Macaca fascicularis: one gene and its partners. The protein of the gene in region 6 interacts with the protein of the main gene of each other region in a biochemical or structural test. Links are inferred from orthologs where the notes say so. Each region holds a gene or a part of one and is shown on either strand. Other genes may lie near its edges.

Region 1 (3,488 bases), on a different chromosome or scaffold from region 6:
GGATTGAATAAGGAAATAATGATGGAACTGGGTCGAATTTCTTCTAGAAATCTTGGTCGTGATGACAGAGTTATTGGTGATCATGGAAAAGAAGCAAGGTAATTCTAATCATTTGAGTGTTGTTACGGTATTTTTATAAAAATAGCAGAGTTTAAATGGAGACTTTTAAGTTTGTTTTCTCTTTGGAGACTGTTCAGATGAATAACAGCAGCAATAATAGCTTGGCTTTATATTATAAACACAGTCAGAAACAGAGCTGGGAAGAGCCAGGAGAGCAGTTATTTTCTAGAACTCATTCTCTAAGAAATGTATTTTCAGTAATTTTCAAAGGTAACATAATGACAGGATTGTTTTTAAGACTATAGTGAAAAAGACTGTTGAAGTAGGCCAGGCATGGTGGCTCACACCTGTCATCCCAGCACTTTGGGAGGCCAAGGCGGGCGGATCACCTGAGGACAGGAGTTCAAGACCAGCCTGGTAAACATGATGAAACCCCACCTCTACTAAAAATACAAAAAAAATGAGCTGATCGTGGTGCCACATGCCTGTAGTTCAGCTACTCGGAAGGCTGAGAATGGCTTGAACCCGGGAGGTGGAGGTTGCAGTGAGCCCAGATCACGCCACTGCTCTCCAGCCTGGGAGACAGTGTGAGACTCCGTTTCCACATAAAAGACTGTCAAAGTAAAACTGAGATAGTGAAATACTAAGATAAGGTATGTAGAGGGTTTTGTTCAGCTTTTAATGTTTGCTTTCCTCCCAGGAAGGGCATAAGCCCCACCTGCAAGCCTTCTTCTCCGATGTTATAGAAACTGGCTTTGTCTCTGTAGACATTTCTGTATGTACAGATCCATGCTGATTTGAAGGTAGTCCTCACACTGGATATTCCTCTGCCACATGTTTTTGGACACAATTTAGTCACATATTGCAGATTACCTAAAACCTTCAGAGAAACCAAGGCACTTTCATGTATCTATTCTTGCTTTTCAGGTTTATTTTTACCTATATCATATTTCTGAAGGTAGTGAACAAGTACAGTATTTGAATAAAACTTTCTAAGACATTAAGTAAGGATAAAGGAAGATGTGACATTTAGTTATAAAGAGCAAAAATCCATTCAAGTAGGCTAATTGATTCAAGTAGGTAGTTTATTACAAGGGTACAAGCATCCAAGAATAGGAAGTCCAAGTAAGCTCCCTGAGAATTAAACATACTACAGTTTCTCTCTCTCTTTCTCTCTCTCAGACTTCATTGTTTCTTGTCTCTACTTCAGTCTTTTCCTCTTTCCACTGACTTGTAGCTGCCTTTACACAGTTGTCCTTCTTAAGTTTCTGGTCCTAGCCCATGTAAAAGTTTGGCTACTATGTCATTATTCTATCATAATTTTCCAGATTTCACTGTAAAGTGATAACTAATACCATAATAAAGTCCATAAACTGTTAAACTGTTTTCTCTTTGAAGGACGTGAGAGAGAAGGAGGTAGAAATTCGGTATGTTATTTCAGCTAGGTCATAGAGAAGGGAATTTGTCTAGTAAAAGCACCTACTTATGAAAGTGTTATATTATGCTCAAATAAAAATGCATATGAAGAATGTTTAAAGCAGCTAATACAGAATTGTGATATAACAAATATAGTGGCTAGATCTAAATAATTTGTTATGTATCTTGACATACATATTAGTAGTGTGTTGATTTGATTCTCTAATTAAATTTGCTTTTGCAACTCATTCATTTTTATTTAATATTCCACATAACAAATGTCTTTGCCCTTTCCAATCTCTTAACCTAGACTAAGATGTAATAAAACGGAAACACTAGTGTAACTGTATTGCATTTGGAGATGTGGGATGGTGGGTGTTAAAGTATTTTAAACAGAAAAAGAACAGAATTTTGTAGAAATTGGGGAAGCAAAAGGGCAGAAAGTTATTTTTTTAATCTAATATTTTGTTTCTAGGTCATCCCAGAATTTAGGGGGAAAAAATCTAATATTTTGTTCTGTTACAGTAATTTATCACCATTTAATTGGTTTAAGTATAATTAAACAATTTTGATTAACAAAATTTTACCGTGTTTTGCAGTTTCAGGCTGTGGAGCCCTTCTACATTGGTTCCATATCCCTAAAGTGTCATTTCTTTCGTTGTGATAAAGATCAGACACAGATTGAATAGTTAGTTAAGATCATGCTTGTAGGCCAGGTGTAGTGGCTCACACCTGTATTCCTAGCACTTTGGGAGGCCGAAGCAGGTGGGTCACTTGAGTTCAGGAGTCCGAGACCAGCCTGGGCAACGTGGCGAAATCTCATCTCTACCAAAAATACAAAGATTAGCTGGGTGTGGTAGTGCTCGCCTAGGTGGAAAAAAAAAAAAATCATGTTTGTTTTCAAGGCCTCCACAAAGATACCTTGTAAGACAATTTGAAACTATTTCTGGACACAGTGAGCCTAATTTATTTATTGAGACTTAGACTGTTTTGTAGTATATGTCATGTGTTATGAAACACTTAGTTTGATTACATTTTAGCTATAAAACTGTATAAATCAAAGCAGGTTGATTTTATTTTTACATAGTGGTTATATTATTTATCTGTTTATTTTAGATTTCCTTTCCTGGATGAAAATGTTGTCTCCTTTCTAAATTCTCTACCAATTTGGGAAAAAGCAAACTTGACTTTACCCCGAGGGATTGGTGAAAAACTACTTTTACGCCTTGCAGCTGTGGAACTTGGTCTTACAGCCTCTGCTCTTCTGCCCAAACGGGCCATGCAATTTGGATCAAGAATTGCAAAAATGGAAAAAAATAATGAAAAGGCATCTGATAAATGTGGACGGCTCCAAATCATTTCCTTAGAAAATCTTTCTATTGAAAAGGAGACTAAATTGTAATGTGATTCACAGTGTAACAATATAAAAATACGTTTTTATATAATTACTTATATAAAAGTAAGATACTCTGCTGCTTTATTATTGTATAATAATAGTAGTTTTAAAGTTCATTTGGTTGAATTTTCATTTTTTCCTGTTACAGAACTCCTAAAACCATGGAATTTCCTTAGTGATAGGGAGTATCTTTTGTTATTCGTAATAAGCCCCTTTTGATCACACCTGAGTTTATGCTAATGCGGTGACTTAGAGTGAGGTCTCTAAATAGCCTTTAATACTTGCAGCTTGGGAGGCCAAAGCAGAGGGATCTCTTAAGTCCAGGAGTTTGAGACCAGCCTGGGCAACATGATGAAACCCCATGTCTACTAAAAAAAAAAAAAAAGTACAGAAAATGAACTGGGCATGGAAGCATGTGCCTCCCTACTCGGGAGGCAGAGGTGGGAGGATCACTTGAACCCAGGAAGTGGAGGCTGCAGTGAGGCTAGGATCACACCGCTGCACTCCAGCCTGGGTGACAGTGAAACCCTGTCTCTAAAAAAATAAATAAATAAATAATAAAAATCAAGAGATTAGAAAAGTTGGAATTTCATCCCTACCCACCCACCTGTGGGAG
Region 2 (4,214 bases), on a different chromosome or scaffold from region 6:
TTTACATTTAAGCCCTCACAAACACTTGGGAAGATTTGGAGTTAAAAGCAAATTGTGGTGGGGGTTCAGCACAGGTTTTGTGGTTTTGTTTTGTTTTGCTTTTTAAATAAACACAGTCCACACAAACCCGTCTGCCTTCACCTGGAAGGACCAGTTCTTTAACAAAAAAACGCTTTGACTTCGGTTTCCCTGGGAAACCAAAGCCTGAGCTCCTGAACTTTTCTCTCCGCGGATTCGGGGGAGCTAGGGAGGGTGCTCATCCACTTTATTGCAGGGAGAAGTACAGCCTGGGACCCCTCTTTTGGGATACTGTCATTTGCCCCTTCTACCATCCCTTACTCTATTCTCAGAACCAGTATGAGAGTTTTCTGGGGCTAAGGCAAGGGGCAGTGGGCTCAGGCGCTGGAAGGACTGGTTTGCAAAGAGATAAGCTTTGGAATGAAACCGCACAGCTGAAAACTCGCGGCAAGAGATGATCGCGCTGTGGCGAGTCAGTTTGAGAAGCCTTCATCCCTACTCCTCTTAGCTTTCTGAGCGGCATTTGCAGTCAGGTGCAAACAGATCGCCTATTTGGCGCAAAGAGCCCTAAGGATGAGGGACGTGGGATCATTCCCCGGTTTCCCCCCGGCCAGATACTAGGTAGTTTGAGGAGAAACTGTTTTCCAGTTCTCAAGGCCTGCAAACGCGGCTGTAGATGGCATGCGGAGCTGTCCAGCACTAGTGAGGTGTCGGCGGAGCCGGGAGCCCCGCGCACCCCGCTGGGCTGAGACTCAGCAACAGGGCTCTCTTGCCAGAGCAGACGCTGTTCTCACTGCCGCCCCGTTCTGGGCTCGCTCCGCGCCCACACGGCCTCGCACGAGGCGGGGAACGCAAGTCCCCAGGAGCTGCTCCAGCAGGATGGGCGCCAACATGTTGCCCCTGTCCTTCCCTTCCCCTGTAAGCGTCTCTTCTGGAATAGGTTGGCTGGACGCTTAGCATTTTCGTTTTGCTTCGGAACTTCCTAAATAAACTCGGAGAAAGGACATGGACCCTAACCCCCACTTCACACTGTCAGGCTTCCCCAAGGTGGCTCCAGGGGGAGGCCTCTCGCCCCCCAGTCCCGAGTCCTTCTCCCCACCAGCGCCTCCGGGGCCCATCTGCTCCCAAGGGCCGAGAATAAGGCGTTTGGGGTTGGGGCCCCTCAGTCCGATCCGAGCTCTTGTGCGCACCTTCTCGGGGCAGGGAGGGCGCGCAGAGGACAGCAACGAAGTGTCCTCGTTGCTCCTGAAACGTGGCGACAGGCGAGGCAGAGACTCCCAATGAGTATGAGGGCGACACGTGATACCCGCGGAGGGAGAGCATGGGCGGGGGGATAAAGGGAGAAGGAGGGAGGCGGGCAGCAAGTGGAGAGAGGCGGGAGGAGAGGGGCGGGAGCAGAGAGGAAAAGGGGGCGAGATAGGCGCGCAGGCGGCAGAAGCCTCTGCTTCCCCTTCTGCTTGGGCCGTAGCCCTCCCCGCCCCGCCGACCGCGGTCACACACTCGGAGCCTCCCCGTGAGCGGGAGCGCGGCGCACGGCGATGCGCCGAGGCTGGCGCTGAGGCGGCGCCGCGCGAGCAGCAGCAGAGGCGGCGGCGGCCCCCAGCCCAGCCCGGCGCCGCCGCCGAGCCCGGGCCCCAAGGTGTGGCGGCGCCCCAAGTTCCCGCCATGAGCAGCCGGCTCGGGGGGCTCCGCGGCCCCGGGGACTCCCGCCCCGCCGAGCGCGACCGCAGCGCCCCGCGGCCCCGACGCGCTTAACGCTGCGGCTCGCCGGTCCCACCACCGCCGCCTCCGCCGCCGCTCGCGTCCTCGCCGCCACCGCCTCGGCCGCTGCAGCGCCGCCGGCAGCATGTCTCGAAGGAAGATTTCGTCCGAGTCCTTCAGCTCCCTGGGCTCCGACTACCTGGAGACCAGCCCGGAGGAGGAGGGGGAGTGCCCCCTGTCTAGGCTCTGCTGGAATGGCAGCCGGAGCCCGCCCGGGCCGCCGGAGCCCAGCGCGGCCGCCGCTGCCGCTGCCGCCGCCGCCGCCGCCGCCCCAGCCCCGGCTGCTTCTGCCGCCGCCGCCGCCGCCACGGCCGGGGCCAGGAGGGTGCAGCGCCGGAGGCGGGTCAACCTGGACTCGCTGGGCGAGAGCATCAGCCGCCTGACGGCGCCCTCGGTGAGCGGGGGGCGGAAGGGGGGACCGCCTTCAGGGGAGAGGACGCGGATCGGTAAAGTTGGCGCTGGGCGAGCCGGGGCGCGAGCTCAGAGCCCGACCGCTGGGGGGCGGCCCGGCCTCACCCTGCCCGGCCTAGGGTTCCAGTGGCTCCGGGCGACAGAGGATGCCCTAGGCTAGGGCGGAAGAGGGGACTAGAGCACCGGGAAGGAGTAAGATTCCACTCCTTTGGGGTCTCCTGATGCGGGGGCCAGTCTGCCCACCTCTAGCCTTGAACCCTACTTCACCACTGTTCCCCCTGGACGGCCCCAGTGCTGCTTCACACCCACCTGTTTTCTTTCCCCTAAACTTTCCCAGGCACTGTGTTCTGCAGTTCGGCTTCCCTATCTTTCATCCTGTTCTCTAGCATCCCAAAGGAGCCCCAACCCCTTCCAGGAAACCCTTCCTCTCCTTATTTCCCACACTCTCTTGGTCTTTGCGTGACCTTCTCTGACATCGTTGAATTCCACAGGCTATCTGCAGTCTATGTTGCATCCTTTTTCTCAGATCTTCAGATACTTTTTGCCAGATACTTTTCTGAGTTGCCTTCTGTTGAAGAAATCTCTAATCTCGAGTTTTCCTCACCCCATAGCTTTTTTTTTTTTTTTTCCCCCCTTATCCACTAGGCATTTATTCTTCTCCGGGTAAACCTGGTGTCTGGTTTTCTTTTTAAAAAAATTTAATTTAATTTAATTTTAAGTCCCGGGATACATTTGCAGGATGTGCAGATTTGTTACATAGGTGCCAAACGTGTGCCATGGTGGTTTGCCACACCTACCAACTCATCATCTAGGTATTTAAGCTCCGCATGCATTAGCTATTTAAACCTCTCTGTACTTCTTGCACCTGTACCTCATCCTTTACTCTCTTTTCAATGGATTCTCTAGTGCTTTCTCTCTTACATTAGCTATTTAAACCGCTCTGTACTTCTTGCACCTGTACCTCATTCTTTACTCTCGTCAATGGATTCTCTCGTGCTTTCTCTCTCATTTTTTGATGGCTTCTTTATATTAGGCCCTTCCTAAATATTTGTGAAATGAACAAATGCCTCTCCAAACTTGTGCTCATCTTGGGATGTCTGTATCAGCAGTTTCAGGTGTTCACCAAACTCCCCCTGGTTGTAGGCATCCTTCCAGAGTACTCCTGTCTCATTCCTGCCCAGGCATTTCAACTACCCTTGGCTTTTACCTCTTGCAGGAATGCCAGACCTCTGGTACAGTCTTACCCTGTCTGGGAGAGTTCTGTTTTGAAGGAATCCACTCTATTGCGACAGAATTTGAAAAAGATTCAGCGTCAAACCTCCATCCATCTTTTATCCTCACCCTGACCTTGCATACAAGAGCTTTAACTACTCCTGACAGCACTTTTACCTACCCACCCCTAGGATTTTTACTTTTTTTAAAGTTTCCAAAATGAATCTGAACATTGGTCTTGTTTGATTACTGTTGAGTCTCTCTCTTTTGAGATTACTACTGCACATGATGGTAAGAGGGACCTAAGAAGGAGTGGGACTCTGAGGGGACTGAGTACTGGTACTAGGCAGTTCTACAAATATTGTTGTGGCACTTCCATTAATGGAGAATGATTTTTTTCTTTTACAAGACCTGATTGAAGATGTATAAGTCACTTATTATTTATTTTGAACTAATTTAATTCTTAAGAACACGTATTGAGAAACAGTCATCTTCCTATTCTTGTGTATTTTCCTATTTGATATATCTTTCTGTCACTTTCTTTCATCGATAACCTAGAAAACAATCCTCAGAATAGATTGGCTGTTGTTTGCTGTTCTTCCCTGCCAGTATTTCCCAGGCAGCGTAATTTTATGAACTATTTGATGTTGCAAATTGTTGAAAATATTTCTGTACAACGGGAGTCCAGTGACGCCGAGCATCTGTAGGCTTATGTTAGTACTTAAAGCAACATTTGTGCAATAAAATAGTTATTTAGCACAACAGATTCTTATTTAATTAAATGAGTTTGCTAAAGATAATGATTAGTTTGG
Region 3 (3,500 bases), on a different chromosome or scaffold from region 6:
CAGGTGGGGGGTTCTGGGGCGGTGGGGATGGCTCCTGCCCAGGTGGGGGGTTCTGGGGGTTGGGGATGGCTCCTGCCCAGGTGGGGGGTTCTGGGGTTGGGGATGGCTCCTGCCCAGGTGGGGGATTCTGGGGGGGTGGGGATGGCTCCTGCCCAGGTTGGGGGTTCTGGGGGTTGGGGATGGCTCCTGCCCAGGTGGGGGGTTCTGGGGTTGGGGATGGCTCCTGCCCAGATGGGGGGTTCTGGGGGGGTGGGGATGGCTCCTGCGCAGGTGGGGGGTTCTGGGGGTTGGGGATGGCTCCTGCCCAGGTGGGGGCAGTGAGGGCCCTGATCTCTGGCCCCCCGAGCTGTGCTCCTGACCTCAGTGCAGACCTGGACCAGCTGAAGGAGATCATGAAAGTGACAGGGACGCCTCCAGCTGAGTTTGTGCAGCGGCTGCAGAGTGATGAGGTCAGTGGTGAGTGGGGAGCTGGGTGGGGGTGGGGGCGGACCCGGGCCTCGGTGTTGGCCCCTCACCCTTTCTTTCCACATAGGCCAAGAACTACATGAAGGGCCTCCCTGAGTTGGAGAAGAAGGATTTTGCCTCCATCCTGACCAATGCAAGCCCTCTGGGTAGGGCTGGCTAGTGTGGGGGCCACCAGGTGCTGGAGTGTGGGGCCTCCCGCAGTCTGGCCTGACGCACCTTCCCCCGCAGCTGTGAACCTCCTGGAGAAGATGCTGGTGCTGGATGCGGAGCAGCGGGTGACGGCAGCCGAGGCACTGGCCCATCCCTACTTCGAGTCCCTGCACGACACGGAAGATGAGCCCCAGGTCCAGAAGTATGACGACTCCTTTGATGACGTGGACCGCACGCTGGATGAATGGAAGCGTGAGCTGGGGGCTCCGGGCAGGGCCTGTGTGGACCCGAGTTGGGGGCTCTGGGCAGGGCCTGTGTGGACCTGTGAGTGGGGGGGCTCTGGGCAGGGCCTGTGTGGACCCATGGGTGGCAGGCTTCGGGCAGGGCCTGTGTGGACCCTGTGGGCCCTGTGCAGGTGGCCAGGCTCAGAGTCCTAAATCCCCGTCCCTGGGATGCAGGTCAGGTGAGGAGAATGGGAGGTCAGAGGGCAGCATGGGGCCGCGTGGCCTGGTGGAAATGACCTCTGGCTGGAGCTGAAAGATGAAAGGAGGGTGTTCCTGGCAGGCTCAGCACAGAGGCTGGCACAGAAGGAGCCGGGAACGGTGAAGGGCAGCTGTGAGTCCGGGCAGCAGGGCCCACTGAGCCCCTCCTGGCCCCAGACCTGCTGCCCTTCCGCCATGTCCAGGCCAGAGACCCGGGCCACCGTGCCACCCTCACCATGTCCATTTGTCCCTAAGGCCTCTCTCCTCACATCTCGTGAATCTGTCCTTGCCTCTCCTTGCTCCAGGTGTTTTTTTTTTTTTTTTTTTGAGACAGTCTCGCTCTGTTGCTCAGGCTGGAGTGTGGTGGCATGATCTTGGCTCATTGCAAGCTCCGCCTCCCGGGTTCACGCCATTCTCCTGCCTTAGCCTCCCGAGTAGCTGGGACTACAGGTGCCCGCCACCACGCTCGGCTAACTTTTTGTAATTTTAGTAGAAATAGGGTTTCACCGTGTTAGCCAGGATGGTCTTGATCTCCTGACCCCATGATCCGCCCACCTCGGCCTCTCAAAGTGCTGGGATTATAGGCGTGAGCCACCGCGCCCGGCCCTCTCTTTGGTCCATTTTAGGATCCTTCCCATCTGGACAAGACATGTATGTCTTATATACCCAAGATAGTCCCCAGGGCCTCACCTGTCTCCCCCAGCCCCCCTGAGCAGTCCAGACCCCAACCCTAACTACTAGGGTCCATCATCCCCTATACCAGGGGCTATCCCCTCATCTTGGAGGGCTGGCCAAGGCCTGTGCAGCCTCAGGCTGAACTCAGGGAAGCCTCCCCAGCTCCCACAGCTATGCTGTGGCCTGAGGCTATGCTGGACCTGGCTTCATTTTTGCTCCAGAATGGCAGGCTGTGTCTTCTTCATGGCTGCATGACCAACCTGTGGTGGGGGTGCCCGGGGACAGCAGGTGGACACTGGGAGCAGTGCCGTGTTTCAGGCCCTGTCCTGGCTCTGCCTTGGGCGCAGGGCCTTGGTCCTCCACACTGGCTGGGTGGGGCTGGATGGACTGAGATTCTTCACCTGTGCTCCTTAGGGCCACGGGTCCCTGGGTGCCTGCAGCAGGGCCTCCACCCTTCGCTGTGTGTGCTTAGTTGTGTGCTTATGAGTTTGGCTTTGATTAAAGGTTTCTCCTGCTAAAAAGATAACTTGAAAACCATGGGCCATAGGATCCTCTCTGTAGTCCCCACCCACACAACTGTAGCTGGGGCCTCAGCTCTTAGGACAGACCGTGGTGGACACGTGGCCAAGCCCTGGCCACCTCCCCTTTCCCTGGAAAATCCGGATCTAGAGCAATGGCCTCTTCACACAAACCTTCTCTCAGTAGTTTGGACCACATTAGGATTAGAGAAGGGCCCCACGAGGCACCGCCAGGCGTGTCTGTGAGTGACACCCCAGGATGGAAGGCAAAGGCTGACCCTGGTTTCTGTTGTGCCCCCCGCCCCCGCCAGGTGTTACTTACAAAGAGGTGCTCAGCTTCAAGCCTCCCCGGCAGCTGGGAGCCAGGGTCTCCAAGGAGACGGCTCTGTGAAGATCTCTGAGCTCCAGGGTGGTAGTGAGGACCACCTTCACCTTCCACCTGAGAGGGGACCCTCGTTGCCACCTTGACCTTGGCTGGGGCTTGCATCCCAAGGCATCCGTCGGAGCAGACCCCTGGGTTCCATGGACCCTCCTCCCCATGCCCCTGCCTCTGCTCTCGGGTGCCCATCCTGGAGGAGCACCTGAACTTTCTGGACAGGACCTCTGGCCGACCTGGGGATGGCCTCTGATGCCTGGAGCCGGGGCCCCCTTGCCCGGTGCCCTCAGAAACCTCGGAGCTGGTGGGGCTCCAGGTCAGGCCCTGGCCTCTGAGCCCTGCCTGCTCTGGGCCATGCGGAGGAAGAACAGAGGGTGGGCGCAGGGCACCAACTCAGGGACATCCCTTCTCCTGGGCGACGTCACTGGACCTTCCTGCACCCCTGCCTGGAATGTAAATCAGCTGTGTGGCGCCCACGTGGCTGGAATGAAATAGACCCTTTTGTAGCTCCCTGCTCTGGCTGTGCGTCCTCATGCTGCGACCTGTCTTAAGGCCTCCAAGCCCTTGGCCTGCATGTAGAGGAGGCTGGCCTGATAGCTCAGACCCTCAGAGCCAGCTGGGGGGCCTGAGCATCCCATCTCTCCCAGGCCACAAAGCTGGTGCCCACTTCCCCAGACCTGTGCCAGTGAGCTTCGAACCCCCACATTAGGGCTTGACCCCCTCCCCTTTTACAGGGTGACCTTCTGCTAATGGCTTAGAGTCTAAGCCACTGTGTGTGGATCCTGAAGCCAGACCCAGGGGCAGGGCCTGATGGGGAGAAATGTTAGGATCTAC
Region 4 (4,235 bases), on a different chromosome or scaffold from region 6:
TTTTTATTTTAAATATTCTATCCTGCCTCATTTCGGGAATACTTCGAGGCCGCTGATGTGTTTACTGCTCAAATATCAACACAGCAGTAATCAGGCCTTTGAAACTACGGGTGAAAAATCCAGTCCATTTCAGTCTTTTTAATTTATGAAAAGAGATTGTGTGGCATTTTGCTTCCCGTCCCTTTTCATAAGACCTTTAAATATGGACACCCCTCCTGCTGGTGTCTTTATATTGGGAAGCTCTGCGTGAGGTTGAAGTTTTTATGAGGAAACTTGTTTAAAACACAATCGTATTTAAAGGCGGGTTTGCCACAGCAAGGTTAGGGGTTGCCAATAAATCGGTTTATAGCAACTTCTCTATTCTCTGCTCCAGACACACCAATGGGTTGACCCGTGCACAATTCCCGCTGGCCACACAAGGCAGGGGCAGTTCTAGTTGATCCTTCCCTGGTCAACTAGATCAACGAAGGCTGTCTTAGAGAGCTTCGGGTAATAAGTGGGCAGAGTACCCTAGGCCAATTTGGCTGCCTGGGATTCCTGGGAGGATCTTGGAGAACCCAGGACACCCGAATCCCTAGGCCCTATCCTGGTTTTTGCTCTGCTGGAGAATAACAAAACATTTTGGGAACTCAGGAGTTTAATTTACTGCCACCAACCGACAAAATAATAGCATCTTTGTGTGTTCTCTCCCCTCCGTCCCTCCCACCTCCTTCCGACAGAAGCACGACGCTGTCCCTCTGTGAAAGTAGCACAGACAGCACGGGTCAGCCCGGAGCGGTCGCAGGAGGTCCAGACCCGCGGGCCCACGGACGCCCGAGAAATCACCGGTCCCAGAACATCCCCCAGTCGCTTTTGGGAAAGAAGAAGACGCAGCCTGCGAGATGCCTTCTTAGACCTTCCAGTTCATTTAGCTCATTCTGGCCCCAGAAAGTGTGTTTGTGTTTGTGTGTAGTTAAGTGAGGCAGAGAAAATCCAAGAAAGCCGCACAAGCCACCCTAAAGCGTCCACGGAAACTCCAGCTTGGTTAATTGTTCCCATATGTCCTCCTCGGCTGTGGTAAAAAAACAGCGAGGAGGGAAGGCCGGAGTCGCTTTGTTGATTTTGAAGAGGCTGTAAAAAAGACTATGGCCCATCTCATTTTGGTCCCGGGGAGGCCCAGGCGCACCCCGGGGGACCCGGTGTCCCAAGGGACGGTAGGGTGCCTCTGGCCTGGACCTGGCGCCGAGAGGCGGGACAAGGCCACCCCGCGCCCAAACCCCACGGAAAGTTCGCGCTCCGCGCTCCAGCCGGTTCCTGGATCTGCCGCAGCCCGGGGCGGGGAGGGGGGCGGGAGGCGCGGCCCGGGCGGGCGCGCGAGAGGAAGGTGCCTTCGGGAACACGCGCAAGGGCGGGGATTCGCGCTGCCAATGAGGCCCCGGTGTGGGCCGAACAAGGCGGGGGACGGGCCGGAGCGGACGCTTAGCTGTGGCAGCTGCTGGAGCGGCGGCCGCCTCGGGAGCTGGAGGAGAGGCAGCAGCGGAGCGCCGAGCTGGCCGCGCCCCGAGGCCCGGCCCTGGGTGTGGGGAACCGCGCCGAGGAGCTGGAAACTTTCCCGGCAGGTAACTCCCGCCGCCCCGGCTCCGCCGTGGGCCTCCGAGCGCCCCGGGCATGGCCAGCTGCCAGTGTGCGGAAAGGTCGAGAGGGACCCGGGGAGGAGAGGGTGATGGGAGAAGGGAAAGGCGTGTGGGAAAGTTTCCGGAGCGCCCCCTTCTCCGCCGGGCACACCCGGGAGCTTTCCGGGAATAGGCACAGACATGTTGGGCGCCCCGGGCCTTGGTCTCGGCGGCTTTGGGGAGTCCGCACCTTCCTTGCGCGGTTCCGCCGCGCCGGACCGAGCCGGCCTGCGGTGGAACCGGGGTGATGGGAACCGGGAATGCTCGGGGCACGCTTGAGTTTTGGGACCACCCCCGCCCGGCGCGCCTGCTCGCCCCCTTTCCCGCCTTCGCTGTAGCCCTCGGGCTTGGCAAGGGCCTGGGCTACGCCTGGTACCTGGCGCGGGAGAGACGAGGGGAGGCGCGCCTGGCACAGCGGGGTCCTAGGCGCCCCCCGGAGAGTTGGGGTGCGCGGGTCGCGAAGTTGCCGAGAGAACTTAAGCCGGGGGCATCGTATTGCCATAGTCTGGGCTGAAAATCTATTGCTTTGCTTCCAAGAACACTGCGATTAGCATATCCACACTCCTTTACTGGGGGTAGGGGTGAGTTAGGATTAGACTTTGGGGGTTTTTCTTTACGGGTGGGACGCTGAGAAAAGCAGTAATTGTCAAGATTGTGAGCCCCCTTGTTCTTGGATGCAGAGCGGTCCTTTTGGGAGGACGATATCAGGGCACTGGCTTCCTGAAGGACTTTGGGGTGCGGGCGCGCAGTGTTGTGGGTGTGCGGGGCTCCCGGCTTCGGCGCGGCGGCTTTCCGGAACGCCTGGCTGGGAAGGAAGCTCTAGACATTGGGTGGTGTGTTTGCAGACAGAAAGGTCTCTAGACCGGTGTTCTCAAAACTTACTGGACTTACTGTGCTCCGGGAGGAAATGTGGCGTTGGCCAGGTAGAAACGCGACGCTGCGGCCAAGGGGCGGAGGACGCCAGGCTCGGCGACGGCCTTCTCCCAGGCCCCTCCTGCCAGCTCCTGGCAGATCCAGATCCCTGTGCCTCCAATGTTGGGACCGTTCGCAGTGGCGTTGTTCCCAGCTGGAGTTAACTTGGGAGATGAGGGAACCTTCATCTTGAACTTGACCTCAGAAGCAGCGTCGTCTGTACAGGTTACAAGGTAAATGGAAGCTGAGCCTTAACGTGCGTTGGATCGCAAACTGGCTGGCGCGGAAAGGAAGTTCCTGGTTCAGAATCTGAGGAAAGGGCTCAGAATTGCTGAGATCGCTCGCCCTGGAAATGCCAGACACACCAGACTGCAGAAGTTAATGCGTGTTTGGAGGGGTGGGGGTGGGAGAGGAAAGGAGAAACCTGGTTAGTTGGCACAGAGGGCTAGTATTTCTCTGTAGTGGAAATGAAGGGAGTCTGCGTCTCTGCTTTCACCAGATCCGCTACCTTCTTTTTTCCTTCCTTGGTCATCTTTATTCCTGCCAGGCTGGCACTCCTGAGGCAGGGGAGGGAAAGGAGAAGAAAGCAGTTGTGAAGCTTCCTGGGTCAGCCTGGAGGTATTTCAGATCTGCTGCTAGGAAGATTCCAGGATTTTAACAGCTGCTTCTTGATTGCTGGGAATGAAAGAATTTATGAGCGGCTGAGAGGGGTTCATTATGGAAGTAGTCTGAATGTTTTACTCATCTAAGCTACTTAAAGACCTCACAAGGGACCTTCCCTAGAGTATGCCAGTTTCTGCAGTTTGTGTCAGTCAGAATGCTTGGTTTAAGTGTTAGTCAAAAAGCATCACAAATATATCCTGGTGGTTCTGAAATGAAAAGTATGTGGCAGTAAAGGAACTATGGTATCTGATATCCTTCAGGACTTCCTCCTAGGGTTGTTCCTGTTACCTGCCAAGTGAACTTGGTCCAGGCTTCCGGACTGTTGTGATTTGACAATAACAGATGGGAAATAGTGTCATTGATTTTAGTGGAAGCAGGAAAAGCCCACAAATAAATTTAAGGTGAGTTTTTATGACCCTATCTTGCACTTGTGGTGCCCCAAACTTAACTTTTTGGCACCAAGCCTGTTGGTTCGAAGTGTTGCTGGAACTTGGAAGCAATGGTTTTCCTGCTTTCTTGGTTTAACCACCAGAATGCCCAAATTATTATAATTTATATTCATCCTTGATCTAAGACATAACTGATTCATAGTCAGCCTTTTTCTGCTTCCCATAACAGCCTGTAGAAAAAAAGAAATTTTGTCTCTTTAACCACATACAATTTATTTGGTGCCATAGTAGGTTTTTGACACTGGATGATTGAGGGCATAATTTTAGAGACAATGGAGTTGTCTGGATTAAATCGTCCATTTTTAGGCGACATCCTCTTCTGAGTTGCTGATTAATTCTTTATCTCTCTGGGAACACTAAAACCAGCATCCCTGGGCCAGTGGAACTATAATCCATATTATAATGACTCCTGCCAGCATAGCTGGAGGTTAACTTTATGTCGATGTTTCCATTAGACATTTCTAACCTAATTGTAAAGATTTTGTCTCAGTTGGGTTGAGAGTCTCATAGAAAAAGAAATGGCTTTATTTTTATCTTTATGATAAATAGTTTAACTGGT
Region 5 (4,088 bases), on a different chromosome or scaffold from region 6:
TATTCTAAATGGAATCGTTTCCTTAGTTTCCTTTTTTGGTTGTTTATTGTTAGTATATATAAATGCAACTGATTTTTGTGTATTGATTTCCTATCCTGCAACTTTGCTGAATTTGCTTATTAGTTCTATTGGGGTTTTGTGTGTGTGTGTGTGTGTGTGTGTGTGTGTGTGTGTGTGTGTGTATGGAATCTTCAGGTTTTCCTACGTATAAAATTTTATCATTTGCAGACAGATATAATTTTACTTATTTATTTCCAATTTGGATCCCTTTTATGTATTTTTCTTGCTTAATGTTACTGCAGCTTTCTATCCAGGAAATGAGGATTTGAACAGTGATGGGGAGGTCAGCAATGGTTGGAGTTGGGACATATTTTATGGGCAGAACAAATGGAACTTGTTGGCTCAGAAGTGGGTGGTGGAAGAAAGAGAGAAGTTAAAAGTGACTTCTAGGTTTATGGATGGGCTAAATTATTGTGGTGCCACTGTTTAGACAGGGTAGATGGGGGGATGCAGGACTAAGAGGGGAAGAGAAAAGGTCCATCTGGGTCACATTAAATTTGGCCATGATTGTGCATCAGATAGATAAAAGCAAGAGAAGGAGGGAAGAAGTCAGAACACAGACCTCTGGGGAAAGCTCACATGTAGAAAAGGGATGGAAGAAGAGGCATCAGAAAGAGAGGCAAAGAAGAGCAATCTGAGGGGGAGAAAAAGAACCAGGAAAGTCAGAGAAACAAGGAAGAAGTTTCAGGAAAGTGGTAGTGGTCAACTATGCAAACAAGACGGGAAGGAAGGTGAGGACTGAGAAAGGATTTTTTATGTGAGCAACAAGGTTATTGGTAACCTCTGACAGAACATTTTCAGCAGAGTGGATAAGGTCTCTGCTGGAGTGCAAGTGAATTGAAAATATAAGTGAGTGAGGGAAGTGCTTTAAACAAATCTAAAGTGCTGTGTGTGTAAGGCAGTGTTGCTATTTCTGTTGCCATGGAAACAGAAACCTTTCAGGAGAACTAAAAGCCACTTAAAATCCCTGACTCTAACCCATTATATCCGCTTGTTCTCTTGAGAAAGATAATGACAAAAACCAGTCATTAGAGGGGCAGGGCAATTTTAGGTTTCTTCTTTTTAGATGTAGCCCTTAACTGGAAATCTTCCCCCTTCTTGAGAAGAGATCTTGCACTGACATCTATACTGGCTTCTAAAAAGCACAGATGACCTGCTACACTTCCTGACTTTCTTGCTATTGGTTGGCACTGTTCATAAATATAATTTGCTGTTTCCCTTTTCTTTTAAATGAGCAATCCGAATTACTTGGAGGAGAAAGGCAGAAGAGATAGAGGCAGCAGAAGCCAGGGCAGCTGAAAGACAGAGAACTTCAGGTGGGCATTTTAATCTTTGTTTTGTTAATTCAGTGTTGAGAATCATGACTTGAAGATCACGTAATAGAGGAGTAATTTTTGAAAAGTAAATTTGTTTTGTTCTACTATAAATATTATTTTCCTATCATGTACATGGTAGTTTAAAAAATACTGTGAAAGTACAAAAATGTTAAAGGAAGCCAAATTCTCCACCAAGATAGCCTCTATTGATATTTTGGGGGTTTTCCGTGTGTGTGTGTGTGTGTATGTGTGTGTGTGTGTGCGTGTTTGTGAATGTGTATATGCACATATAACTTTAGTTTTCATAGTTGCGTCCCTGCACTATGGACACGTTTATATTCATTTCCTGCATTTCAGTCTATGGTTTTTCCATGTTGCTGTGAATTCTTTGTAATCATAAATTAAAGCTGCTGCATAATATTGCATTGAGGAACTTTACTTCCTCCATTTTTAGCTGTATAGCAGTTATCCTATTTTTCATAGTTTGGGTCCTTTTATTATATAAGATATATTTTTTTCATTCAGGGTCTTGTTTTAGAGGTAGAAGAAGTTGAATCTGAGCACATATGTTTCAATGGTTTTGCTTAGAGGCACAATGAGAGTGAAAGAGTATGTGAGATCATGAGCATATAATCTGTTCCTTACCCCACTGGGACCCTAACCAGTGTTTCTCAACTCTGGCTGCACATCAAGTCAGAATCACCTGACTCTGAGGAGATTAGAAAATTACCCCTAGAATAATTGAAGCTTAACTTTTAGAGATCAGCAAGTCATCTGCAGTATTTTGTCTTGTTTTCCAGAAACTTCTCAGGTGATTCTAATAGGTGGTCGGCATAAAAACAGATGACCTACGTCATTCAAAATATTTTTCTGTCTCTGACATATACCTGAGAGTAATATGTATTAGGAGAAAGGGAGGTATAATTTCAGGCAATCCAATCAAATCTCCCTTTCAACACTACATACATAATGCAAATTACAGAATAATTTGGGGGGAAACATAAGACTTCTAGAAATTTCTATCTACCTCAGCCACATAAACTCTTGAGATGAGAATCTACTTGTGTTTCGATTTACTAATGTTTTAAAGAGGTGGATTTGTTTCCAGTGCTTCGATGGTTAAAAGTTAGAGAAGTTGAGGCTGTCGTATGTTCTGAATGTACCTGAATCACGCCCATATCTGCTAGAATCTGCCAAGGCAGCCAGGCTTCCTTTCTTTTGCAATCTTCAAGATTAAACACAAGGTGGGCATTTAATAGCTGGCCAGTCACTAACACACTGTGGGCACAGTGAAGATCGATGGCATTGGATTTGGAGGCAGAAGGTGGCTCACTCTGGCTTTCAGGAGCCCCATAGACATGGCACTTACCTTCTCTGGACCTCATGTCCTCAGGAGGAAAGTGGACAGAGTTTATGCCAGGGCTGCGTTCTGGTTTCTCCCATTGGGGACTGAAAACAGAGCCAGAGCCCCTAAACCACATTGAAGCATTTGCTGTTGCACTCCTAGCCTGCTGCAGGCCAGGAATCATCCCAACGAGACCAACAGCATGTTAATCAAATTTCTTCTTGTTTTGACTCAGTGGAGAACACCTGTTTAGTACCTTCATTAATGAATGTAAACATTCACATAGTACTTTACAAAACACGTTTACATGCATCAGTTCATTTGATCCACATACTAGCCTTAAGAACTGGAGTAATTCTTATTTTAAAGATGGTAAAGATGAGACCGAGAGAACATAGGATCTTTTCCAGGTGGAACCAGAACTGGTCCAATCTGGTTTAGCCCAGGGCACATGGTCCATTCTTACAACTTAAATAATAGCTATTGTGGGAAATTGGTTAAACATATTTCATAATGTTTATATAATTGGTTATTCTGTAGCCAGTTAGATGATGACATTGATGTTGTTATTTGGCAAAGAAAGGTGATCATGGCATGGAAATAAGAAAAAAGCAAGATATAAAACAGTATTATAAATGCGCTTATTTTTGTTTAAAAATATTTTCATATATTTCAAGAAAGATGAAAAAAAGCATATATGTGAAATTTTAGATATGTCTGGTTGGTGGTAAAGTTCATAATTTAAGTTTATTTCAGCTTGTATTACATTGTAATTTTTCTTTACCATGAACATGTACTACTTGTGTAATAAAAATAAAGGAAAGTAAATAGAATTGTTCATGTCTTTCTGGTTGGCTCTTCTCCGGATGAAATGGCCCCATCTTTTACTTGGCCGTAAAGAAGGCTGCTATTTAATTCTCTGAGTTTTGTACGTTATTGTCACAAATTTTATTGTGATTGTCAGCTAGTACTGACTGAATTCTTTGTGTGTGTTGGGCACCAAGTTAATCACTTCACATCCATTTTTTTTTTCATCAGTACTCACTCCAGTGCTCCTTTGGCAGAGGAGAGTTTGAAGCTCAGAGGGCTGCAGTAATAAAAGAGACTAAAAGGCAGAGTTGAAACTTAAACCCAGGACCCTTTTAACTCAAAAGCACATGGTTTCATTCATTATATCACTCTGCCTCCCATCCACCTGGGATCACATGAGCAGCCTCCGTTTTGGAGGAAAGATGATATATTTTTTCAGTGTACTACTCATTGCTGTGTACATGAATACATGATGGTTACTTTGGGCATCATTAAGATTTCCTGTGTACTCCAGAATCAAGGATCCTTTCTGCTTTTCTATAGTTTGCTCTATGCAC
Region 6 (3,500 bases):
AGTTGCGGGGGAGATTAAAGATCTCTGCTTTGTGGTGATGGAGTAGTTCTGCCTTGTAATTGCAGTGGGGTTTACACAAATCTACACATGAAAAAATGGCATAGAACTATACCTTCACATTGTACCCATGTCAGTTTCCTAGTTTTGATAGTGTACTACAGGAGGTAAAATATAACCACTGGGGGAAACTGGTAAAGGGCATCCCAGACTTCTTTGTTCTATTTGTGCAACTCCATGCTAATCTATAATTACTTCAAAATAAAAAGTTAATGACATAAAGTATCTGTTGAGAATTTCCTTCTTTTACCACAATTACAGTATACAGATTTCTCACTCTGTTTCTTCAGTAATCCAATTAGAGTTCTGGCATAAGCTTTGTCGTTGAACTTTTATTTTTATTTTAGTTTATTTTAGTTTATTTTATTTGAGACTGAGTCTCACGCTGTAGCCCAGGCTAGAGTGCAATGGCTTGATCTCAGCTCACTGCAACCTCTGCCTGCCGGGTTCAAATAATTCTCCCACCTCAGCCTCCTGAGTAGCTGGGATTACAGGCACCTGCCATAATGCCTGGCTAATTTTTGTATTTTTGTAGAGACAGGGTTTCACCATCTTGGCCAGGCTGGTCTTGAACTTCTGACCTCAGGTGATCTGCCCACCTCAGCCTCCCGAAGTGCTGGGATTACAGGCGTGAGCCAGCATGCTGGGCCTGGACTTTAAATATATAATATTTTAAGTGCTCTCTCCCCGTTGTTACCCCTTCCTAAGCCAATTCACACCTTCACACCATGGGTCTGAGGATTAAGTGGACGCTAAATGTGCTACAGACAAAATTCCTAAAAGATGCAAAGTTTGGTCATCTTCGATTCTAAAATATTCTCAATTGATTAACACTGAGCAGCAGGATTAAGCATGTGGCTAGATATATTTCAATCTGTTTCCTGCCAGCACCAGCAAGGATGTGAGTATATTATTAAAATCCTCTGTGAATTAAGAAGTTAGGCAAATTAGTATCAGCTCACAGTTTGGAAGTCTCGATATGATACTACTAATCAGCAAATCAGCTGAATAACAAGAAAATCAGATAACCTTAATTTAGGTGATTTGGTGGTTGCACAGCTGTGTTCCCGGTATGTAGACCAGTACTTGGGCACCCAGTAAATATGCGTGGATGAATTAATGAGTGAATGAATGGATAGCGGGACCATTAAGGCATCCCATGGGAAACTGACAAAGTCTAAAAATAGGAGTAAAGAATTAATTCACCTTTGTGGCCCAGGTCTTGACGAAGCAGGACCTGCCAGGAAACTTTCTAACCCTTTTCTCTGTGTTCCTCTAGGCAGCTTGAAATCCACTCTCCAGATGCTAAGCACACAGTGATCCTAAGGAGCAAGGACTCAGCCACTGCCCAGGCATGGTTCAGTGCCATCCATTCCAACGTTAATGACCTGCTGACCCGAGTGATTGCTGAGGTCAGAGAGCAGCTGGGGAAAACAGGCATTGCTGGGAGCCGAGAGATTAGGCATCTTGGCTGGCTTGCAGAAAAGGTAAGAAAAATACCTTCCTCTATAATAGTCATCCTTCCCGAGATTCCCCCAGCGCTCATAACCACTAAAGTTATCTCATTCCATAGGCTGATTCTCTCATTCACAGTCTGTGTGGATTTCTTATCCCTCTCCAGCAGGCTACAGGCCTTTACATTATACAGGGGTTTTGTCTTAATTGAATTTGATTACCTGCATTTAGTTAAACATGTGGCAGATTGCACGGGGTCCAGGTTGTTGGATGATGGATGAACGAGTGAGTTGAGGATTAGTTTGATTTTAACTTCTATGTATGAAGGGAAGGGAAAATAACTCAACCTCAGAACAGAGCTGTTGCTTTGGGAGGCAAGGAAGTCCAAATTATTGCTTCAAAAGGGTTTGTGTGGGTTTTGATGAGCCTGTTTGTTAATAACACAGACACTTTTGAGATGATTCAATTATACATTTACAAGTAACAGCAAGGATTACTTGAGCAATTACTATAAGCTGGCTCTTTTCTTATGTTACCTTATATTTTATTTGTGCTGTTAAGCCAGCCGCTCTTTAATGCCATCATTAAAGAGCACCTACTTTTGTGAGGCACAGTGCGAGGCAGGAGTCGGGGAGGGAGTGAACACATAAAAAGACTTAGCCTCTGTCTCAGAGAGGACAGCTGCTATGGAAAAGACTTTGGGTCATATTAACACGGTCCCTGATTTCTTTTCCCAAGTTATGGGATATGTTAAAGATAGTAAAACTCACTTTGTGGCCATCTCTTGGGAGTTACTCTTTCTCTCTATTTCAAAGGATTGAGTCTTTGCCATTGTCCTTACATATGATTGCTGTCCCTTGAAGTTGACCTTGAGTGCTCAGGAACGCTGGACTTTGGGGATGATCTGACCTCCCAGTGACTCACTTTCTAATAGACAGTAAATGGGAATAGTGAATGTCACAATAACACGTTTCCTGCCAAAGAACTCTGTCATCTGAGAAGGCTCGGTCATATGGCACCTGGAATAATACCTGAACACACCAGTTGGCTGTTTTCCGTCATTGTGCTTTGTTTGCAGCAGATCATGCCTGGGTCTTAGCCTAACAATTTAACACCAAATGGGTTGTTTGACTTGGTATTGTCCTATCTCTCAGAGATTTCAAAGAACCAAAGGGACAATGCAGGTGATAGGAGCATCCAAATTCATAATAAACACAAACCACCCGTAGCCTTTCATGAGTTTATGTGTTAGGGTTCCTGAAGAAAACAAGACCATAAATCTGGATGGCTGATACGATTTTGAAAGTCACATCTCTATCACTCTCCACTTTCTACTCTCTTCAAATGCATGTGTTTTTATTAGAAAAGGGCCTGATAGTCAAGGATCTTTCCATTACAAGTGGCAGAAAACTCAACTCAATTTAGCCTGAGCAAAATGGGCATGCCTGGGTTCTGATAACTGCAATGTCCAAAGATAAGCTTCAGGCATGGTGGGATCCAGGGACTTAAATAATGTATTAAGTCTAAGTCTCCATCTCTTTCTTTCCCTGTCCTTTCATTAGTTTATTACCAGGCTTCCTCTTTAGTTGGCCTGACGGTTCCAGGCTTATGTTTTCTTTGCTCCTGGTTGTCTCAGTGAAGAATGGCTTCTTTGCCCCAATTGTTCCAACACAAGTCCTGAGATTATAAGTCTAATTGGGTTGACTTGGATAATTTGTTCAGTCTTAGTGCTGAAATCAGCCTCACCTAAGTCATTTGCAGTGAGGATGAGGAGGGGTGGTTCTCTAATGGAAAAAATCAGGTGCTGTGCAAGAAAAACAATCAATGGATACCAGGGAAGCAAAAGCAACCAACATTTACTGTAGAACAAGAGAAGGAGCTGATTGTGATGAAAAATGCTCTCACTTGGTTAAGGTTCTGGGGGGACTTGGAGATACAGCACTTATTTTAGGATCCTGGCAGCAGATGGATGGGAAGTTCGAAAGGGA
Region 7 (3,500 bases), on a different chromosome or scaffold from region 6:
AGCTGGGGAGGGAGCATCCAGGAAGGGACGAACTGTCTTGGCCTGGGATGTGAGAGTCTTTAATGTTCCTCATGCATCAGGACTGGACTGGTCTAAACACATATGAGCAGTCGGGCTAAGGCCTGGGATGGACAGGCCCTCTGCAGGCTCCTGCCATGGCCAGCCCCTGAGGCAGGTCTGAGGCCCTGTGCTCCCCCTTTGCTGGGCTGCCTCAGGGTCGAGGGGACCTCCTCAGGTACCCTCACATTCCCCTCCTGCCCCTACAGATTCCCCAGGCATCCCCCCTAGCGCTGGGGCCCATCAGCTGTTCCGGGGCTTCAGCTTCGTGGCCACTGGCCTGATGGAGGACGACGGCAAGCCTCGCGCCCCGCAGGCACCCCTGCACTCGGTGGTACAGGTGAGGGGGGCAGGGGGCTGCTGCTCCGTTGTCCTTTTCTAAAGAATGGCTGTGAATACAGGCTCTGAGTTGGACAGAACCGGGTTCATACCCTCGTGCCACTGTGGGACCCGTAGGGTCTCCAACATAAAACAGGGACAGTAAGGCCCGCCTCACACTGTGGCCCTGATAATTGGATGATGATATGGCTATACATTTCCCAGCACAGAGCAGGGTCTGGGTACATGCCAGGGGGTGCCCAGGGTGGTGGTGCAGAGTGACTGTCGTGTCTCTGGCATAAGGGTAGCAAATAACTTGTATCTCTTCACACTTGTTCCCCATTTGTACACTTCCACTGCCTCATGAAAGTTTCAGGTTGAGAGGCAAGAATGTAGACTGTGCAGCTCATTGCATGGGTTCCAGATTCACAAGATAATGGACGTTGGGGTTTTTTTTGTTTGTTTTTGAGACGTAGTCTTGCTCTGTTGCCCAGGCTGGAGTGCAGTGGCAATCTCAGCTCACTGCAGCCTCCACCTCCCAGGTTCAAGCAGTTCTCCTGCCTCAGCCTCCCGAATAGCTGGGACTACAGATGTACACCACCACACCCAGCTAATTTTGTTGTTGTTGTATTTTTAGTAGAGACGGGATTTTACCATGTTGGCTAGGTGTCAAACTCCTGACCTCAAGTGATCCACCCACCTCAGCCTCCCAAAGTGCTGAGATTACAGACATGAGCACCCGACCAGATAATGGACTTTAGATGAGATACTTCCCTTCCTGGTGCCTCAGTTTCCTTATCTGTAAATGGGGAAATGATAGAATCTTCCTCCATAGAGCTATTATGAGGATTATTAGAGTTAATACATGTAAAGTTAAAGTGGGCTGGGCACGGTGGCTCATGCCTGTAATCCCAGCACTTTGGGAGGTCGAGGAGGGTGGATTGCTTGAGGCAGGAATTTAAACAGACCCGTCTGGCCGACATGGTGAAACCCCATCTCTAAAACTACAAAAATCTGATGGGCGTGTTGGCATGTGCCTATAGTCCCAGCTACTTGGGAGGCTGAGACACGAGAATTGCTTGAACCCGGGAGGCAGAGGTTGCAGTGAGCCGAGAATGCACCACTGCACTCCAGCCTAGCAACAGCGCAAGACTCTATCTCAAAAAATAAATACATAAAAAATAAAGTTAAGGTGACTATGTAATTTATTTTCCAAACTGGGACATCTTTATCCAGGACAAATATTAAATCAGACTGGATGCAAGGACCGCAGGCGCAAGCCAGGGCTGGCCGCGGGGCATGTAGTCACCTGATGAAAGTGCTTAGAATACTGCCTGGCACGCAGCACACACTAAGCACCATTCAGCATTGCTATGGCTAATGTCCCAGAACCTTGAGACACCCCCTGAGTTGAGCTGTGACACCCCAGAAAGGGGAGGCAAGTCACTCAAAGCCATACTTAGTGGCACAGCTGGAACTCAGCTCAGGGCTCCTGCGTCCCTCCCAGGCCTGCCCAGGCTTTTCAGAACTAAAGTCCTCTCCATGTGTGTTGTGACCCTCTTGCCCACTCCCTGCGCTGCCCTCTGACCACAGGCTGCAGTCCAGGCAGGCTGGGAGCCAGCGAGTATGCCCAACATATAGAGTAGAAAACTGAGGCCCAGAGAGGGGCAGGCTCTCACCTGCAGTCACATGGCCAACACTCTACGCCAAGTCTCCTGGCCCTTCCCCGGTGCTGTCTCTACTGAGCCAAGACCTTGAATGCTGGGAGATGACCCTTAGCACTCTGGAGCCAGGGGTCAGCCACAATTTTTGGTCTCCTACAGCAACTCCATGGGAAGAACCTGGTTTTTAGCGACGGCTACGTGGTAAAGGAGACGATTGGTGTGGGCTCCTACTCTGTGTGCAAGCGCTGTGTCCACAAGGCCACCAACATGGAGTATGCTGTCAAGGTGGGCCTCCTGACCACGTCTCAGCCAAGGCTGCCGGGCCGGGGGCAGGTCCCCGTCTGGTGGGGAGGGGTGGTGCCTGAGCTCTGCAGATGTATGAAAGATTGTGTGGCCGAGACCTCCAGGCCTGCTCCATGGCAAGGAAGGACCCTGGAGCCTGTCACCCTGACACTGCCACATGCACCCACTTTCTTCAGGTCATTGATAAGAGCAAGCGGGATCCTTCAGAAGAGATTGAGATTCTTCTGCGGTATGGCCAGCACCCCAACATCATTACTCTGAAAGATGTGAGTGGGGTGGGGACCAGGAACTCGACTCTCTAGGATTTGTCTCAGGGTTGCCATTCCTTTGACTTCTCATCCTCTTTCCGGTGGTCATGTGGAGGGGAAAGAGGTCCCTTGGTCCCTCCAGTCTGCCCATCCCCCAAGGGCCCTCCTTCAGACTCAGGCATTTTCTGAGGACGTTCTTGCCTATCAGGGGACCAGTGTCAGCATCCTCCTTTTGGGGAAGGCGGGGCCACTGAAGAGCAAGCAGAATACCTGCCTAAGGCTCATGTCATTCTTCTCTGCTCTGGGGCGCTGCTGACCAGGGGGCCCAGGCCTGACACTGGGGAGAAGAGCCTGATGGTGAGGTCTTCGGCAGGTGTACGATGATGGCAAACACGTGTACCTGGTGACAGAGCTGATGCGGGGTGGCGAGCTGCTGGACAAGATCCTGCGGCAGAAGTTCTTCTCGGAGCGGGAGGCCAGCTTCGTCCTGCACACCATCGGCAAAACTGTGGAGTATCTGCACTCACAGGGGGTGAGTCTGGATTCAGGGAGGCGGTAGGGGGATGCCAAGGGTCATACCATCAGCAGAGCACATGAACCACATGCTGGCCCAGGAATGGCAACCTCCAGCTAGCCAAATTGAGGGAAGACTAGGCTGGGTCGGGGGATGCGTGTAAAGGAGGGAGGGAGAGATGTGGTCAATCGTGAAAGGGAAGGTATGGAAAGTTATTCAGTATCTACTGTGTGCCAGTCACCATGGTAAGGTTTAGCATAAGATGAAGTTTCCAGGCCAGGCGCAGTGGCTCATGCTTGTAATCCCAGCACCTTGGGAGGCCAACGCAGGTGGATCACTTGAGGTCAGGAGTTTGACACCAGCCTGGCCAACATGGTGAAACCCGGTCTCTACTAA

What was found.
Region 1: the proteins of SNTB1 (region 6) and ASNSD1 interact in a test that uses a peptide from one of them, tested with the Homo sapiens proteins (2 studies listed by IntAct, with this or other methods). The link is inferred for Macaca fascicularis from reciprocal best matches to the Homo sapiens genes SNTB1 and ASNSD1.
Region 2: the proteins of SNTB1 (region 6) and GUCY1A2 interact in a test that uses a peptide from one of them, tested with the Homo sapiens proteins (2 studies listed by IntAct, with this or other methods). The link is inferred for Macaca fascicularis from reciprocal best matches to the Homo sapiens genes SNTB1 and GUCY1A2.
Region 3: the proteins of SNTB1 (region 6) and MAPK12 interact in a test that uses a peptide from one of them, tested with the Homo sapiens proteins (2 studies listed by IntAct, with this or other methods). The link is inferred for Macaca fascicularis from reciprocal best matches to the Homo sapiens genes SNTB1 and MAPK12.
Region 4: the proteins of SNTB1 (region 6) and TANC1 interact in a test that uses a peptide from one of them, tested with the Homo sapiens proteins (2 studies listed by IntAct, with this or other methods). The link is inferred for Macaca fascicularis from reciprocal best matches to the Homo sapiens genes SNTB1 and TANC1.
Region 5: the proteins of SNTB1 (region 6) and CYSLTR2 interact in a test that uses a peptide from one of them, tested with the Homo sapiens proteins (2 studies listed by IntAct, with this or other methods). The link is inferred for Macaca fascicularis from reciprocal best matches to the Homo sapiens genes SNTB1 and CYSLTR2.
Region 7: the proteins of SNTB1 (region 6) and RPS6KA1 interact in a test that uses a peptide from one of them, tested with the Homo sapiens proteins (2 studies listed by BioGRID and IntAct, with this or other methods). The link is inferred for Macaca fascicularis from reciprocal best matches to the Homo sapiens genes SNTB1 and RPS6KA1.

The regions. Positions count from the first base shown.
Region 1 is NC_088386.1:85,315,971-85,319,458, forward strand, and holds the end of ASNSD1 (asparagine synthetase domain-containing protein 1), read left to right. Parts: coding exon 1-98; intron 99-2,592; coding exon 2,593-2,878; 3' UTR 2,879-2,988; downstream 2,989-3,488.
Region 2 is NC_088388.1:106,022,092-106,026,305, reverse strand, and holds the start of GUCY1A2 (guanylate cyclase soluble subunit alpha-2), read left to right. Parts: upstream 1-1,414; 5' UTR 1,415-1,864; coding exon 1,865-2,173; intron 2,174-4,214. UniProt on the Homo sapiens protein: Has guanylyl cyclase on binding to the beta-1 subunit. Isoform 2 acts as a negative regulator of guanylyl cyclase activity as it forms non-functional heterodimers with the beta subunits.
Region 3 is NC_088384.1:1,302,722-1,306,221, forward strand, and holds the end of MAPK12 (mitogen-activated protein kinase 12), read left to right. Parts: intron 1-369; coding exon 370-449; intron 450-532; coding exon 533-611; intron 612-693; coding exon 694-867; intron 868-2,601; coding exon 2,602-2,681; 3' UTR 2,682-3,179; downstream 3,180-3,500. UniProt on the Homo sapiens protein: Serine/threonine kinase which acts as an essential component of the MAP kinase signal transduction pathway.
Region 4 is NC_088386.1:54,399,250-54,403,484, forward strand, and holds the start of TANC1 (protein TANC1), read left to right. Parts: upstream 1-1,435; 5' UTR 1,436-1,598; exon of another isoform or gene 1,599-2,797; intron 2,798-4,235. UniProt on the Homo sapiens protein: May be a scaffold component in the postsynaptic density.
Region 5 is NC_088391.1:27,793,095-27,797,182, forward strand, and holds the start of CYSLTR2 (cysteinyl leukotriene receptor 2), read left to right. Parts: upstream 1-1,288; 5' UTR 1,289-1,376; intron 1,377-4,088. UniProt on the Homo sapiens protein: Receptor for cysteinyl leukotrienes. The response is mediated via a G-protein that activates a phosphatidylinositol-calcium second messenger system.
Region 6 is NC_088382.1:130,260,690-130,264,189, reverse strand, and holds part of SNTB1 (beta-1-syntrophin), read left to right. Parts: intron 1-1,336; coding exon 1,337-1,544; intron 1,545-3,500. UniProt on the Homo sapiens protein: Adapter protein that binds to and probably organizes the subcellular localization of a variety of membrane proteins. May link various receptors to the actin cytoskeleton and the dystrophin glycoprotein complex.
Region 7 is NC_088375.1:208,553,760-208,557,259, reverse strand, and holds part of RPS6KA1 (ribosomal protein S6 kinase alpha-1), read left to right. Parts: intron 1-266; coding exon 267-397; intron 398-2,198; coding exon 2,199-2,324; intron 2,325-2,518; coding exon 2,519-2,608; intron 2,609-2,963; coding exon 2,964-3,122; intron 3,123-3,500. UniProt on the Homo sapiens protein: Serine/threonine-protein kinase that acts downstream of ERK (MAPK1/ERK2 and MAPK3/ERK1) signaling and mediates mitogenic and stress-induced activation of the transcription factors CREB1, ETV1/ER81 and NR4A1/NUR77, regulates translation through RPS6 and EIF4B phosphorylation, and mediates cellular proliferation, survival, and differentiation by modulating mTOR signaling and repressing pro-apoptotic function of BAD and DAPK1.